2 linked regions of the Lytechinus pictus genome follow. The protein of the gene in region 2 purifies or fractionates together with the protein of the main gene of each other region. This does not show direct contact. Links are inferred from orthologs where the notes say so. Each region holds a gene or a part of one and is shown on either strand. Other genes may lie near its edges.

The links. The genes of interacting proteins can lie anywhere in the genome.
Region 1: the proteins of probable cytosolic iron-sulfur protein assembly protein CIAO1 homolog (region 2) and DNA polymerase epsilon catalytic subunit A-like purify together in Homo sapiens (affinity purification with western blotting; 3 studies listed by BioGRID, with this or other methods). This does not show direct contact. The link is inferred for Lytechinus pictus from reciprocal best matches to the Homo sapiens genes CIAO1 and POLE.

What each region holds. Positions count from the first base shown.
Region 1 is NC_087252.1:33,395,050-33,402,589, reverse strand, and holds the start of DNA polymerase epsilon catalytic subunit A-like, read left to right. Parts: upstream 1-4,540; 5' UTR 4,541-4,795; coding exon 4,796-4,869; intron 4,870-7,540. Other genes in the region: MAM domain-containing glycosylphosphatidylinositol anchor protein 2-like, read right to left, coding at 4,395-4,443. UniProt on the Homo sapiens protein: Catalytic component of the DNA polymerase epsilon complex. Participates in chromosomal DNA replication.
Region 2 is NC_087256.1:15,794,367-15,802,246, reverse strand, and holds the start of probable cytosolic iron-sulfur protein assembly protein CIAO1 homolog, read left to right. Parts: upstream 1-4,862; 5' UTR 4,863-4,975; coding exon of another isoform or gene 4,976-5,080; 5' UTR 5,081-5,273; coding exon 5,274-5,418; intron 5,419-6,628; coding exon 6,629-6,889; intron 6,890-7,740; coding exon 7,741-7,832; intron 7,833-7,880. Other genes in the region: spermatogenesis-associated protein 24-like, read right to left, coding at 4,976-5,080. UniProt on the Homo sapiens protein: Key component of the cytosolic iron-sulfur protein assembly (CIA) complex, a multiprotein complex that mediates the incorporation of iron-sulfur cluster into extramitochondrial Fe/S proteins.

The DNA.
Region 1 (7,540 bases), on a different chromosome or scaffold from region 2:
GTGCAAAGAAGATCATGATTATATGATATGCCTACATGTACGTAGGACATGTCTGGAGGTGTCGATGAGGTGTCTTTCAAAGGACCATTCTTCGCATCGCCCAAATTGGCTTTGCCTTTGACTTTGTGAAACAGTTGAGCCATATCTCGTTCTTTTGATGTAACGTAATACATGTACTTCCAGCGGCTCTACCAAAGACCATTTCATGAAACAGGCCCCTGAGCTCATCACCTGCCGGTGTCATAGGCGATTTGGACCGGGCAGCCGATCGGGGCCGGAGGTACTAATCGGCGGCTCTTTTACCCGCCGATTAGTTCCGACATTTGTTGTGTGATGCGATCGTCATAGTCGCTTTGTTCCGACCAGGCGATTTGTTCCTATACGCTGTTCATGCACCATTATCCCCCCTACAGCAAGATTGTGATATTCCAGTCGTCCTTTTCAACCAATTTGCTCCTCCAAGTCAACCACACCCACAGAACAGATACAGTTGCCGATTTGAGAATCTCAAGTTATTTAGGAAGTTGTATGCATTTTTTAGCACTCTTCCAATTAATTAAACATCCGGGGACGGCTGCTGGGTGGAGCCATGAAGCCCTATTCACACTGTGTGCTCCCTTTGTGCGCCTGTGCTATTCAGGGTGTGAACTTCAATATATCCACCAATATGGCTGGTTTGTCTTGGTCTTCATTACCAAGCAAGAAATAGGATGGGATTGGCGACTAGGGTGATGGTGGGGTAAACACTGCTGCATGCTCTTCGAACCCCCAAAGTAATCAAGTAGAAATCAAAATGAATGTATCAATACAAGAAAACTAAGTCCAACAATAAGGCTGCCAGAAACACAGGGAACTCTCAATGACACCTCATTGAGACACACACTATGCGCATATTTTTTTTTTTGGGGGGGGGGTTGGGGCATGGGACCCGGGTAGTCGAAAAAGGAGGAAATATATGAAAATAAAAGGGAGAGAAAAAAACGTAGGAAGAAGAGATCGCAAGAAATGGGGAAAAGTATATGAGAAAAGGAAAAAAGGAAGAGGGAATAAGGGGGGGGGGGAGAAGGAAAATGAAGGGGGAGATGAAATAATAATAATAAAAGAGTGTGCATGAGCGCGCCCGCAATTTGAAGTTTGCCTTAGGTAATGCGAGATGTCCTCGCATTGGATAACAAAATCACGGTCCATGTTTACAATAAAAAAGTTAAAAAACAAATGTTTAAAAACTACCGTTAGAGTAGACTCTACTCCAAAAAAGAGACGTGGTACAGTACGGTACCGTGTCAACTGTCCAGGCAGTCCAGCGCTGCACGTGCGCAAAAAAGGTACCCGTACATACTACATCGCATCGTGTACCGAGGGTACCGTCCGTAACATACATGTACGAGGCTGAAATACCTCTTATCTAGATCTACCTAGACCAACATTTTTAATTTTAGACTGAATTATAGAAATAATTGTGATGAAATTAATAAAAATCACACCAATATTATATATATATTGTAGGTACGTGACAATCCGCGCTTCCGCAGGTTATTTCCTTGCACCGCACTATCGTTCCGCCTCTTGTTCGAGTGCACAGTGCATGTCTCTGCTAAAATCGCTGTAGCGGTGCTATTTTTAGACCTTAAATCATGAATGGGGTATTGATCAAGAGATCGGGAATCCCGCTTGATATCGCTTATTTTTTTTCCGTACGATGAACAAGGACTGAGATACGTCGACCATCAAAAGATTGGAGACGAATTCGATGCCTTGAATTAAAAAAAAGGAAGGTATGTATAGTTTTGAACGTTATATATCTACGTAGAATATTTATTTAATTACCTGCATATGAAATATCTAAGTGATTTGATTACCGAAACAATGTTTTTTAGCTCCGAAACTTACTGTACATGTATGTGCCAAGCAAAAATTGGCTGCATGACCGCGCGCGCATTATAGGCATCCTGGTGAGTTTTCACGGTGCTGCGCTGGGCTAGTATGTGGCTGTCAGCTGTGCTAGGGCGCTGATCTTGCTGCTTGCTGAAGTGGGGTTTATTGTTTGTTTACCAAATTAACTGCTCTTTTCTTTCGTGTTTTGGATTAATATAACTACATTCAAAGATATTGGGGGGGGGGGGGGCACAACTCCAAATTTATTTTGAAAAAGAAAGCTGGGCAGATTGAGGCTTAATATCAGTGAGTGTGTGAATCAGCTCCCCAGGACTACGAGGCAGGACCCATTCCCCTTCTTTTAAAAAGGATTATTTTTTTAATAGCTTCTTTCATATTCTTTATTTTCTCTTTTCTTTTTTATTTTCTTCACTTTTCTTTTCTATTTTTAAAATTTTCATTTTTTTTTTTTGTTCTTTTGTTTCTTTTCTGTTCATATTTCCCCCTTAGGTTTTCTTTTATTTTTGTTTCTTTTTAAAATTTTTGTATTGTTTATTTTTTCAATTTTTTTGGTCAAGTTTCATTATTTGGAGACTGGATTTGCTTTTGAAAGGAGAATATCTTATATGTTGATTTTTCATTAAAATGCACAAACTATATGTTCTTTATTTTTTTGTTGTAATTTTTTTTTTCACTCTTGTAAGAAAATACATGAAAACTCAGAGAAAATAATATTTCATTTCCAGATAGGTCTAAGTCCTGTATTTATGTTTTTTTTAATTTTATTTTTTTACTTTTTTTAAATACTTTTTTTTTTCATTAGGGGTGCAGGTGGGGTTGTGTTTTAAACTGGAAAATGGGGATGGGATTGGTACAAGTTTTTGTGTCACTTTTGTTTCTCTTGTTTTAATGTTTGTTTGGAGCTTTGATGTCTGTTTTGTTGTTTAGAGCTTTGTTATCTTTTTTTCCTGGTTGTTTTTTGTTTTGTTTTGAAAGAAATAGACCACTCTTTTCCTTTTCTTTTGGCTTCAACTAATAGTTTGAATTCATTTATTTTTCTTTAAAAAAAGAGAGCTCAAACAGGGCCTTTGCAATACAATGTGTGTATACAAATCTACGAAATACATTAAAAACTGATAGAATATATTAAAGCTTAATTTTTGTACTTCTTGATACTTGAAATAAATTGCATATAATGCTACATAACATATTTTACACTCAGCTGCTCATCCCTCCTAAAAAAAGTAATCAAATGTCCATTGTCTCTAAAATCAAAAGCTACATATTACACATGTATAACAAATTGTTGAAACAATAGAATACATAAGGAATTGGTGAAACAATCAAATACATCAGAAAAAAGCACACTTGTATTTTTATTTGGTCATACAAAGTACAAAAGGGATAATTTGTATACGTAAAAAAGGACCCCCGTACATACATGTATACAAAATTTACAATACTAAGTTGAAAAAGAGCTTGTAATTTATATCAGAAAAACAAGGAAATACATTAGAAATTACAAAAACAATACTTTAAACAAATTTATTTAGGAAATTATCTACATGATGCTGTTTTGATGCCAACTAAATTATATAAATTATCTATCAAGTATCATGATCACCTTTATTTGGCAAAAAAAAGGGGCGAGTTACCGAGTAATTGTGATTTTGTGTAATTTGCATAATTAATTAGAATTAGAAGAAATTATTTTACACATAATAATAAGAAAAATTACAAGATGAAATGATTACACATCGATTGAGTTTTCTTTCACCTTTCCATTGATACCTAAATTACTTCATAGGGCTAAAAAACAAAGTTAGAGCCTGTTGAAGACTTGGGTTCAAAATGGTCACAAAAATCGGTTCTGTACTCCACTGAATTGACTTTACATTAAGACAATGACCACAAAGTAAACCTGGATGAATATGCGCGACTTCACTTAAACTGGAATAACTTTATAATTTCTTGATAAAAATTAGAGTTCTTGGTATCATTTGAAAGGTCTTTTTAAGAGCTTTCAAATGATACCAAATTTATTCATATTTGATGATTTTCATTTTTTTTGTCACATACCTATAATTATATAGGGCCTAGGCCTATATTGAAACATTTCACCAAAGCAGATATTATTATATATTAGGCCTAGGCCTAGGCCTACTACATTCGAACCTTCTGACGAATACGGAACCAAACAGCGGCTTTCCGTTCGTATCGGCAAAAATTTCAACCAGTCTTTTGGATCTGGCAGCCCCGATCGGCTAGCCGTTTGGCCTGGTACTGACAGCCCAAATATAGGCCTACTTACTAGCCGTTTTGGACTGGCGGGCTCCGGTCCAAATTTTCTACCACACCGGCGCCGGAGGTACCGGGACTGCGACGTCGGAGCTCCCGTCGTCAGTCCTCACTGAGCTGAGCCGATTTCCGGGTATACCAAAAAGAAACATCACTGCTTAAACACACTTAATGGTACAATAAATAGCACACACTCTTGTAAACGAGGACAAGCGACTTACCTTTCATCACCAACAACAAGGAAAAGGCTGAAAATATTAAGAATTTCATGATGTTTTACTTTTAGTCGCTCTCAGACTCCGATATCGATATCTCGGCTCCTCAGCTCAGCTCAAATAAAGAACCTCACATTTTGCGCGCCCTCTTTAGTTTGAAGTTAACAATTTTCGCGCCCGCGCCAAACATGAAGTTTCCTAGATCATCGACTGATCGAGAATAACACGAACAAGCCTAATTTAATACTTTGTCTTTGATATTGTTCTGTCGAATACGTACATGTACCAGGCTGACACATATTTTGAAGTATTACTGATGCGTTTGGAGGCTTTGAATTTGGACAAAACTTCACATGAGAGGCAGAAAGTTAAAATAATTATCACTGAGTGTCTGTTCAGATTTCGGAATGGTTCTGCAGAACAGCGGCCGCTACAGGGCCGACCGCAGTGAGAACGCCGATGGTTCCGGGGGAGGTGGTAGGTGAGTGAGCGGACCCTACTGCTTGCAGGCATTCAGCTGCATCTGCAGTGCACCATCGTCAATCGACTTCATGGACGTTGTTTGACTCGAGCCTGTCTATTAATGCAACATAGGTCTAACGAGTAATGTTACACCACGTGCTACAAAAACCTGATAGGCCTACTAGATAGAAACGTCATTGATTAATTAGAATTTAGATTTAGAATAGGCCTAACTATCTATTTTAAAAATAGTTTGTCATTCATTGATCATTCATCATTTCATTGTCATTGAATCGAGATTCATCATGACATTATTCATGTCGAGATTTAAGAACCCATAATTGTGAAGCTGCATTTTGTACTTAGTTTTCTAAGCCTGTATTTTTTCTCTTTTGCATTAATCTAATCTAACGTGAGAAACTTACATTTTAAAAGTTAGAATTAGGCAGTAGGCTAGACCCACTCAAGGTCAAGGTTCTAACTCTGGCGCACTCACAGTCACACGTATTGTGAGATTAGTATTAGAAGTATACTAACCTCGCACCACTTGTTCACTGCAACCACCCACTTGTTCACTGCAACCACCCTGCCTGTGGGGAATCTACAGGTAGGACTATAGGTCTAGGATAGTAGGAGGACTACATCATGGCATGCCAATGCTGTGCAGAGCACACACTTTAAAAAATCATTAAAATATCATTTTTGTGACCAAAATTACTAATTTCCATACAGTTGCAATTTATTTTTTATAAGTAACTTGGGAATAATTTTTGTACTCACTAGAGCGCTCGAAAAAATTGAATTTTGGGCATATTTTTGTGTACGCCCTCTATTGGTGGAAAATAATATGGCAAGAAAATTTTCATTTTTTATCTCTATTTTTTATTAAGAAAAAAATAATTTAAAGCATCAAATTTACTTAAGGGCCAAGTTACGACGAATAGGTGAATTGGAAACTGTCACGTGTAAGAAAATCAAGCATTTGTCCCAAAGAAAAAGAGAAAATGAGCCAAACATTGCCATCCTTATTTTGCCACACATGGAGATACATGTATAACTGAGAACAAGGTTATATCATAACCTTGTTCATTGAATGAGTACCTCGCACCATGAACCGCATTTGGCAGTGGGTTTCTAAGTATTGGGTCGCGCGTGCTGCGATCCCACTTCTGGCGTCCACAACACACAACTTCTATGGCTTGATTTTTTTGTGCGCGGCGGCATGTAATGAACCCTGGCTTGAGTGACTCTGGCGTAGTGCGCAGGAAAGTTACATGTACAAGGTCAAGGGTCAAGGCACAACAACACCCTCATAACCGGAATTTAGACACTAGATCATACATTGTTAATGACCACTTTTTTCCATAAAACTTACCAAACAATATGAATCCACACTTTCCCTCTTCTTTGTCTTTCTTATACAGTGCGTCCAAAAAAAACTATACACTTTTGAAATGGCTGCCAAATAAAAAGTATATCACTTTGGGGGGAAAGAATTATATATATGGAAAGCCAATAAAGTCATCTTTCAAATGACACCAAAATGTTGGAAAAATATTCATGCTTGAGTGAGCACTACCCACTTAAACAAAGGGTATGAAAATCAGGGTGGGCAGGAATTAGCCTTTTGGTTTCTTTCAGTTTTTGAGAGGTGAGTCCCTTGGAACTTGCAAACTTGAGGGTGTTTTGATGAATTGATGGTCATTATCAATTTGCATTGTTAAAGCAAATTTCATGAATTATCAAATTGCAATTCCATGCATGAGTGAGCATGAATTGCAATCTTTAGTGCAGCATTTTAACTTTACTATGTGGGTCTCAGCAGTGTGTTCATTGGAGTCGGGAGAATAGGGGTAAGAAACGACTTCAGTGGGTGAAGTAAGCTGATGGGAAAAGGGTCAACAGAACGTTTAGCCTCCCTCCTGCAGGTCCATTCCTCTCTCCTTTTGAGATTGAGGTTGATTGCTATTACATGTACGTATTAAGTGCAGAGCGGACTGTCAATTTGATAATAAATTCTGAAAATTAGGTCATCAACTTTTACCTATCATTCAATCAATAATCTATTAGTAAATCAACTCAATCAGTGCGATCAATCAAATATTCACCCTTTTCAATAAATGATCAATCAAACATTCAGCTTTTTCAATAAATTATTTCATAAATCATCATAATTAGTCAAGTTTTTAATAATCATTCAATGGAAAAGAAAGACCCGTCAACCATAAGTCATTTAAGTTTGAATACCATCCAGGAGAAAGAAAGGGGATGGAGGGCGGGGGTGAGTACATGATTTGTTATTTGTAAGAGAACACAAAGAAGAATGCCCCTATAACCCAGTCTTACCCTATCTCACCCCCTTGCATGTAACAGGTACCATCACATTACTCTGACTCTCACAAGCACACTTGATAAGATCCACATAATAAACTAAAAAAGCTACATTAAAATTACAATTCCTGTTTACTCATGCATTACATTTCAATTTAGTAACTCATGAAATTTGCTTTAATATGAAACCAAAACTGATCTCAATTCATCATTAATTTAGCATAACACCCTTAACTTTGCAAGTTCTGAAGGACTCACCTCTAAAAAAACTGGAAGGCTTATTCCTGCTCACCCTCGCAAAGGCTAGTCTCTCAGGAAAGGGTGAAAGGGGTAGAGAGAGAGAGAGGGGGGGGGGGGGT
Region 2 (7,880 bases):
TAGCATAATTTTACTTGGCAAAGTAAAATACTTAACAATGGCAAAGCAAAATTCTTAAACTTGTTAAGTATTTTACTTTATTATTAAAGCCAAATTTAAGCAAAATATTTATTATTACACTGTATATTAACGATTGTGACATCATAAAGTTTAAGCCATAGGGTGTCAAAAGCAATAAATAATGTCTCGACTCCTTAACTTAGTGTTTGACATATACATGTATATATATTTTTTAATATTCTTGAAGTTCATGTTCTACATGTATATAAACCACTCCATCACTGACATGATGCTACAGGGCATCGAATCTTTAGGTACCCGTCCTGACTCAGTCCGTACTAGCAGGGAGAAGCTCTGGATGAGACGACTTCGCACCACCCAACCTCATGGCCTGAACATCCAAGAGGGGAACGACTGATTTTTCTTTCCTATCCACTTTCAATTTATATATACATATAATTTTTCCCCTCAGCTCTTTTGAATAGTTACATTATAGTTTCTTCCTCTACTTTCCTCCCATATCTCATACAAGCTCAGCTCCAAATTTTCCTTCCTTATTCAGGCGATATAATAATTATTATATATATATATTTGTTTTTTCTCCACTCACCTCTTTTAGATTTACCACATTTGCTTATTTACATGTATACTTTGGTTTCTTCATAATACACCCCTTCTCTTCTATATTTGCTTTTACCTTTTTAGGCAATTTGCTTCCTCTTTTTCACATATACAGGTTTTTTTTTTTTTTTTTTCCTACTATATAGTCTTATGTTTTTTTCCTGTCACACCTAGCGGATTACAATATCAGTTACACCATATGTTTATTTATATTTTTTCATATACATTTCTTTTTTGGATATATTTTTATACATATCACTTATAGATACATATTTACACTTACCTTCTTCTCTTAGTTTGTTTAATGCTTTATCATATATACTTATATGTCTTTTGCACATTATCAGTTGTTCCCCATTCTTTTCCTTTTTTCCCCCACTCTTATGCACCAGTTTATTATGCCTTTCTTTGTAACCTGTTTGACCCACCTCTCACTAATTCTCTTGTTATTCATCCCATTATCACTGTTTTGTTCCAGATCCTGTTTGATATTGCCTGCCTCATTATCTTAATCCCTCTTGGCTTGAGGTCTTTTACTGGCCTTACTTATACTAACTTCCCTTTGTGTCTGCCTACTCCTTTTCTTTCATCCCCTTCACTAACCTGATTGGTCTTCTCTACTCACTAATGCCCCTTTTGTCTCCTTGTTTATAGTGTTGCTGTAGCTTGTTTGTGGTCTATATTATGGTTGTTCCACTTTATATGTTTGTCATTTTGCCTCCGACGAAGATTCTGCTAGGATCAAAAGCTTAGGCCCCTTTTTGACTTTCTGTATATAAACTTCCATAAAGTTATGAACTTTATGACCAACATTTATGATCATCGTAATTTTTAACATTGTTTTCTGTTAAATAGTATTTTTCCACTGCCTAAATATTGATTTTACACATCTTTCTATTTTGTTTATTATTGCCATGCTACTTTACCTACTTGGCATGTTTGTATCTGTGCAAGTTTCACATTTTTTTTTGTCCTTGGTTACTTTTCATACCCAATTTTCTCTCAAGTCTAAACATTAAATCACATTTGTATTTCTTGCATTATACCTGACGTTTGAAATAAATAAATTAGATTTTTCACAAGCAGCCTCTCATATTTTCCTTCTTAGTCTCATACAGTCAGACACGTTGACTTTGTTTACTTGATTCAAACCCTATTTTTACCTCAACAAATAACTTTTAAAGCATAATTTGCAAAATTATCACTTCAAATATTAAAGTATTCATAAAAATTCAGAATATTTCAATATGTCGAAATTACTGATTTACTTCCATTTTCATTTTCGAACAAGTGTCTCTCTCGTATATCAATGAAAGGTGTCCTTAAAAAGACTATGTGTTCTAGATAAGGAAAATAATGAAAATTTCGATTTTATCCAGTTATTATGTTTGTGGATCTAGTTTAACTTTAAAGTTGTTTCTCTTTTTTTTTCACCTCATAAAGTACATGTAAGCTCCGGATATCAACATCTCCATATGTACATCAATTCCACAATCTGTAATACATACATAATTTTTTGATCTCCATTTATGGAAAATTAAATAGGTCTATACGATTTTATGAAAAGTTGTCATTCCGTAATAGGTTGAATTAGGTTCAGGTGGCGATGAAGACAAAATTTTTTGACGATACTAACTTAGATCTAACTTAACGTGTCGTGACTAAATGATGTATATACATGTAGTCTAGGCCTATACCAGGTAGTCTAATCAAACAATTCAATGTCAAAGTTGGATTGGATGACAAATTTGCCTTCGTGAAACTGAAAGCGCTGATTTGTCGCCAATCTTCCTATCTCGGAAGAATGGTCCTTCGACGTCCCTACTATGCTCATCTCGTCATGAAACAGGCCCAGGCATGGTCATGCTGGCTCCCTACCACCTAGACCAAAAGCTTCGGTCTCTGTTATATTGGTTGTTCCGCTGAACTCCGTTGGCTCTTGCACTCACCAATTACAGAGACCGAAGTTCTAACTTAACTTGATCTGTAGTTACAGGGACTCAATGGCCATATGTTTATGAACTACATGTATTAAGTTCGGATAAACCAGAGCAGTGGGAGTTACTCGACAGCCGAAGTAAGTCACTCTTTTTTTTCCTTTTAAGTTTATTTTTTCCCGTTTTGGTGCATTTCAGGCCAAAATGGAATCTAAATTCTAATAATCTTCTTTTTAGGGCTAGACCAATGAAATAGGGTCTAAAGAAAAAAAAAGACAAAAATCAATGAGCCCCGTCGGGGGGATTTTGCATTGTTAACCCTGTAATGGTGGCTGCACAATCGCGAGCCATCTGCGTATGAGGAGAATTAAAAAAATTTATTAAATGTTAAGAAACAGACGGCTGCCAGCAGTCTACTGTACCGCCTAGACAGCTGGCAGCCGTCTGTTTCGAGGAGTTTTTTAACATTTTTTAATTTTTTATTTCTCCTCGTACATAGTCGGCTCGCGATCGTGCAGCCGCCATTAGGGCATTAACAATGCAAAATCCCCCCGATGGGGCTCACTCACACATATTGCGAGGTTAGTATTAGTATACTATAACCTCGCACCATGAACCGCGTTTGGCAGTGGATTTCTAACTAGTGGGTCGCGCGTGCTGCGATCCCACTTCTGGTGTCCACAACACACGACTTCTATGGCTTGATTTTTATGTGCGTGGCGGCATGTAATGAACCCTTGAGTGGACGGGGCTCATCGATTTTTGTCTTTATATCATAAAAATATATAAAAAGAACTGGACCAAAATAAAGATTATTAGGCCTTATCCTGAAATATGTCACCTCTCTTCTCGTGTGTGTCAGTGTGTGTGCGCTCGCTGTGTACAAAGTCAATGGGAGATGAAAGAATTCACCACCGCTTACAAAATGAACGGCAGTGAATGGAGTGGTGACTTAAACCAGGATAGACCTTATCGCAAATAGATTCACGAAAAGGATCATGGGATCAAAAAGGGAGCAATAGCGCCGCTATTGTCCGGATGCGGACATGCGAACGCAAGCAGCCGACAATAAAGTGGACGATTTCCATAGTATATCAAAATAGGATCAACGCCGCAGCCAACATTTTGCTAACTTCCAGTAAACGCCTCGTCATATTTGTTCCAGAGTCTAACATCACTTTTCTTCTTAATTATGGGTGGCAGAGAAAGATGTGCTGTCTATAGCTGTAAGAATTACCACAGATTTAATTTTTTGCTAAGTTTGAATGTACTTTCTTTTTTATAATGTGACATTTTATGTAAAAAAAAAACAATCCAAAAATCGGGTTTCCGCCGAATGTTAGATCTAATGTTACTGCTAATACTGCCAACAACTCTTCAGTCTATGTATTGGTGAGTGGAGCCAACACAGTTCAGCGGAACAACCAAAATACAGAGACTGAAGCTTTTGGTCTAACCCCCCCCCCCCCCTTTCTTGTAATGATCAAACTCAAAAGTCCGATTTGCAAAGGACTATATTTCCCCCAAAATAACAAAAACTAGCTAAATTTATTAGTTATGGAAATATATACATGTATCATGGCCTACATTATGATTCTCATCAATATTCTTTAATGGAAAAATAGCCTCAGGCTCTCTTCGGATCGCCGATCGGGGGCGAAAGTTTCAGGGTTTTTTGCGGTACACGCAGATGAATAGGAAGGACTCCCTGGCTTCATGGAGAGTAAGCCTACGTTAGTAAATGATTTTTACTCTCAAGAAGCCGCCTGGCTACTATACATTACCCCCGGGAATAATACATGTACCCCGGAGAAGTTAAAATGACATCCGTTTTTGGTCGTCCTGCCGTGCAAAAAGACGACCTGAAATTGATGACAACCAGCCCCCATATAAAAAATAACTTGGCGCCATCCCACCCAGATAAAATGCATCAGAGTGCAACCAAAAAAATGTTTAGAGGTGATATGTCAGTGTGGCTTGCCGTAAATGCATTTTCTCTCAATGCCGACGGTGGCGGGCGGTGTGCAAAGAAGATCATGCCTCGTCGTAGGACATGTCTGGTCCTCTGGAGGTGTCTTTCCAAGGACCATTCTTCGTAATCGCCCAAATCGGCTTTGTTAAACAGTTGAGCGATATCTCGTTCTTACGTAGAATGGTTCTACGAAAGACCCTTTCATGCAACAGGCCCCAGCAGAACAACCAATTTAACAGAGACCGAAGCTTGTTTTGATCTACACTACCACCTTGCTCTCGCTCTCGGCCCTGGCCTGACTCATCACGCCACCGCACCGGCCCGCGGGGAGCATGAGCATCCGTCGCAGACGTAGCGGCGCGCGCTCGGCTTGGAATGGATCTCTTTCGCCCTCTTTCGCTCTCCTTTGTATTTTTGATTGAAGTCGGTTGGTTATTTAACTCACATTTGAATATTTACGGTCCACTAGTTTCTTCTGTGCAGTCAAAACATCCTTAAGCTGGTTAAAGACGATTTGCAGAGATGATCCTGAAATGTTATGTTCTGTCATTTCCAAATTTAATCTTCCCGGATTTTCAATTTTTTATAAATGTCGCGAGATGGCGCTACACACCGGAAAGTTTGTGATGTGCATATGCAACCAGCCGAAATAGAAGAAAAACAACTCCCAATTATTGATAACTTTAACGATCTATTTATTCTCCCTAAAGGATCAGGAGTGGAAAGGACCTGTAAAACAGTCAATGAACCAAATGGATGGAAATTTGCAGCCGATTTCAACATTGTCTGGTCATCACGACCGCGTTTGGTGCGTTTCGTGGAATCCGACCGGGACACTTCTGGCGAGCTGTGGAGGTGACAAGACGGTCAGAATCTGGGGCAAAGAAGGTAGATAATTCCCGATCAAAGAATTGAATGCTAAGTAGATCTATAGGGAATGATTCTTGCTAATAATGTGTGCACTTGTGCCTTGTTTACAAAGATTTTTGAAATGGCGGAGCCTAACAAGTTTAACATTAGAACATGGTTAAAGTTAAAACTTAAAAACTTAAAGTTAGTCTGACTTCGTTAGGCGCTCACGTGCGTCATTTAGCCTTAAATTAAACGAAAGTTAGATCTAACGTTGTCGTTAGATCTAACGTTAACAAGTTCGATATCTAAGTTGGGTCTAATGTTAGGGCGGGCCTAGACTCAAGTAGATTGTAGACCCCTACGTCTACTCGTTATGAAAATTATTTACACCAATAACTTTCTTGCTCTTTGTAATATATAGACTCCTAATTTACTTTTTTTTTAAAATCTTTTTGTACCGGTACCGTAAGGGCACTAGTATTCAACCCGTTTGGAGAGTTTCCTAAAATATATAGAAATATAGAATTTACCTGAATTTCAGACCCGTCTTATTTCCAAGAGCAAATGCTGGTGATTCTTTTTCCGTTATTTTTTTCTTCAACCAGTTGACTGTGTGCGCGGGCGATCGAATTATACGGCGACGAATTTTGGTACTAGTATTCAACCCGTCGGTACTAGTATTCAACCTAGCGATGAAAGATGGCCCTGTCTCTCAATCTGCCCTTGTCCCATCCGACTATGGACTAGACCATTTGAGATGAGACCAAACGGGGAATTAATCAAAGCCAGAGACTTACATAGATCTACATCTAATTTAGCAATCTAAACCCTTTTGAGATTTGCTATCAATCCTCACTAGGTTGAATACTAGTACCATTCAGTGCAAAAGGCCATCGCCGCATAATTCGATCCTCCGCGCATACAGTCGACAGATTGACAAAGAAAATATCGACAACAGATTACCCTGGAAATAACAAAGGTATGAAAGTAAGATAAATTCCCTATTTCTAAATATTTTGGGGAATATGTCAAAATCTTTGAATTATGCCGGGTTGAATACTAGTACCCATACGGTAGTGTTTTTTTTCTTCTTTTGCATTAAGTGACGAGACTCTATTTGCATTAAAAAAATACAGAAAATCTGCTGGAAGCTGTTTTTATCTGTCTTATACTGAGAGTTCTAGTTCATTACTCCATTAAACACTTTATTATCATGACAATAATGATTATTGTGTTCTCTCACAAGGTGATAATTGGGTCTGTAAGAAGATCCTCCAGGATGGCCACACAAGGACCATCCGACGTGTTGCCTGGTCACCCTGCGGTCAGCTGCTGGCCTCGGCAGGCTTTGATGCCCAGACCTGCATCTGGGATCGTCGCAGCGGAGAGTTTGAGTGCAGCGCCACCCTAGAGGGCCATGAGAATGAGGTGAAGAGTGTTGCTTGGTCACAGTCTGGCTCACTCTTATCAACGTGCAGCAGGGACAAAAGTGTTTGGATCTGGGAAGGTAAGCATTGACAGTACAACACACATCATCAAGGGCATGTGTTAGAATAAAACGCCAGAGCCCCATAATTATTATTTGGTCTGTTTCAGATGTAACAAGTGTAATTATTCTCATGTCCAAGCAAAATCATGTGTATTATGGGATTATGTTTTGTGAGATAGTGACACTGGCAGTTCCAGGGGGGGTGCAAAGCCGGCCGGTGCCCCCTTTTGAGAAGCACAATTAAAATTTGTAATGTGAAAATGCTGTTAAAACAGAAGTGTACCCCCGCCCTTTGAAAGTGAAGACCTTTTACTTTTTTTTCTTTTTTTTTTTGCTTGTCAAACTCTTCTTTTTTTTCTTTCTTTTTTTCAGCTTGTCAAATTTTTCCTCTGGAAAATATGCCCCCCCCCCTTTTGGAAAATCCTGGATCCACCCCTGGATAGTGATGTTTGATCCTTGTTATTTGATGAACCATCCTCATTGCAAAACCATGACTGGTCAATAGAACTTGTCAAATTATCTTGTTAGCTACTGATGAATGGCCATGTGATTGATTTCAGCCAATCGTTTGATGAGGATCCATATTACCATTCGATGAATTATTATATCAATTATGATTTTTAAATGCCTACTTCTATAGGTATTGTTCCAAGGTGTAGAAAAATTGGATCATACATGTAGATTATTTGATAGACTATTAAGAAAAGCATACTTACTGCAATAGCCTTCTTGTGGATGTTCATAAATCCTTCTGAATTAACTGTTCTGATTAACTTTTGAAAAAGCTTGGACATATGATCGGGGGAGCTATCGATATGGTATTATTTTGTTTTGTGTTTTTATTTTATATTTGAATGACTAATTTGCAGTTGACCAAGAAGACGATGATTACCAATGTGCCAGTGTACTCAGCATTCATACTCAAGATGTGAAGCATATCGCCTGGCAGCCTGGACGTGAGGTACGATATATGCATTCTGAATAATCAATACACCTGTTCATAACTATC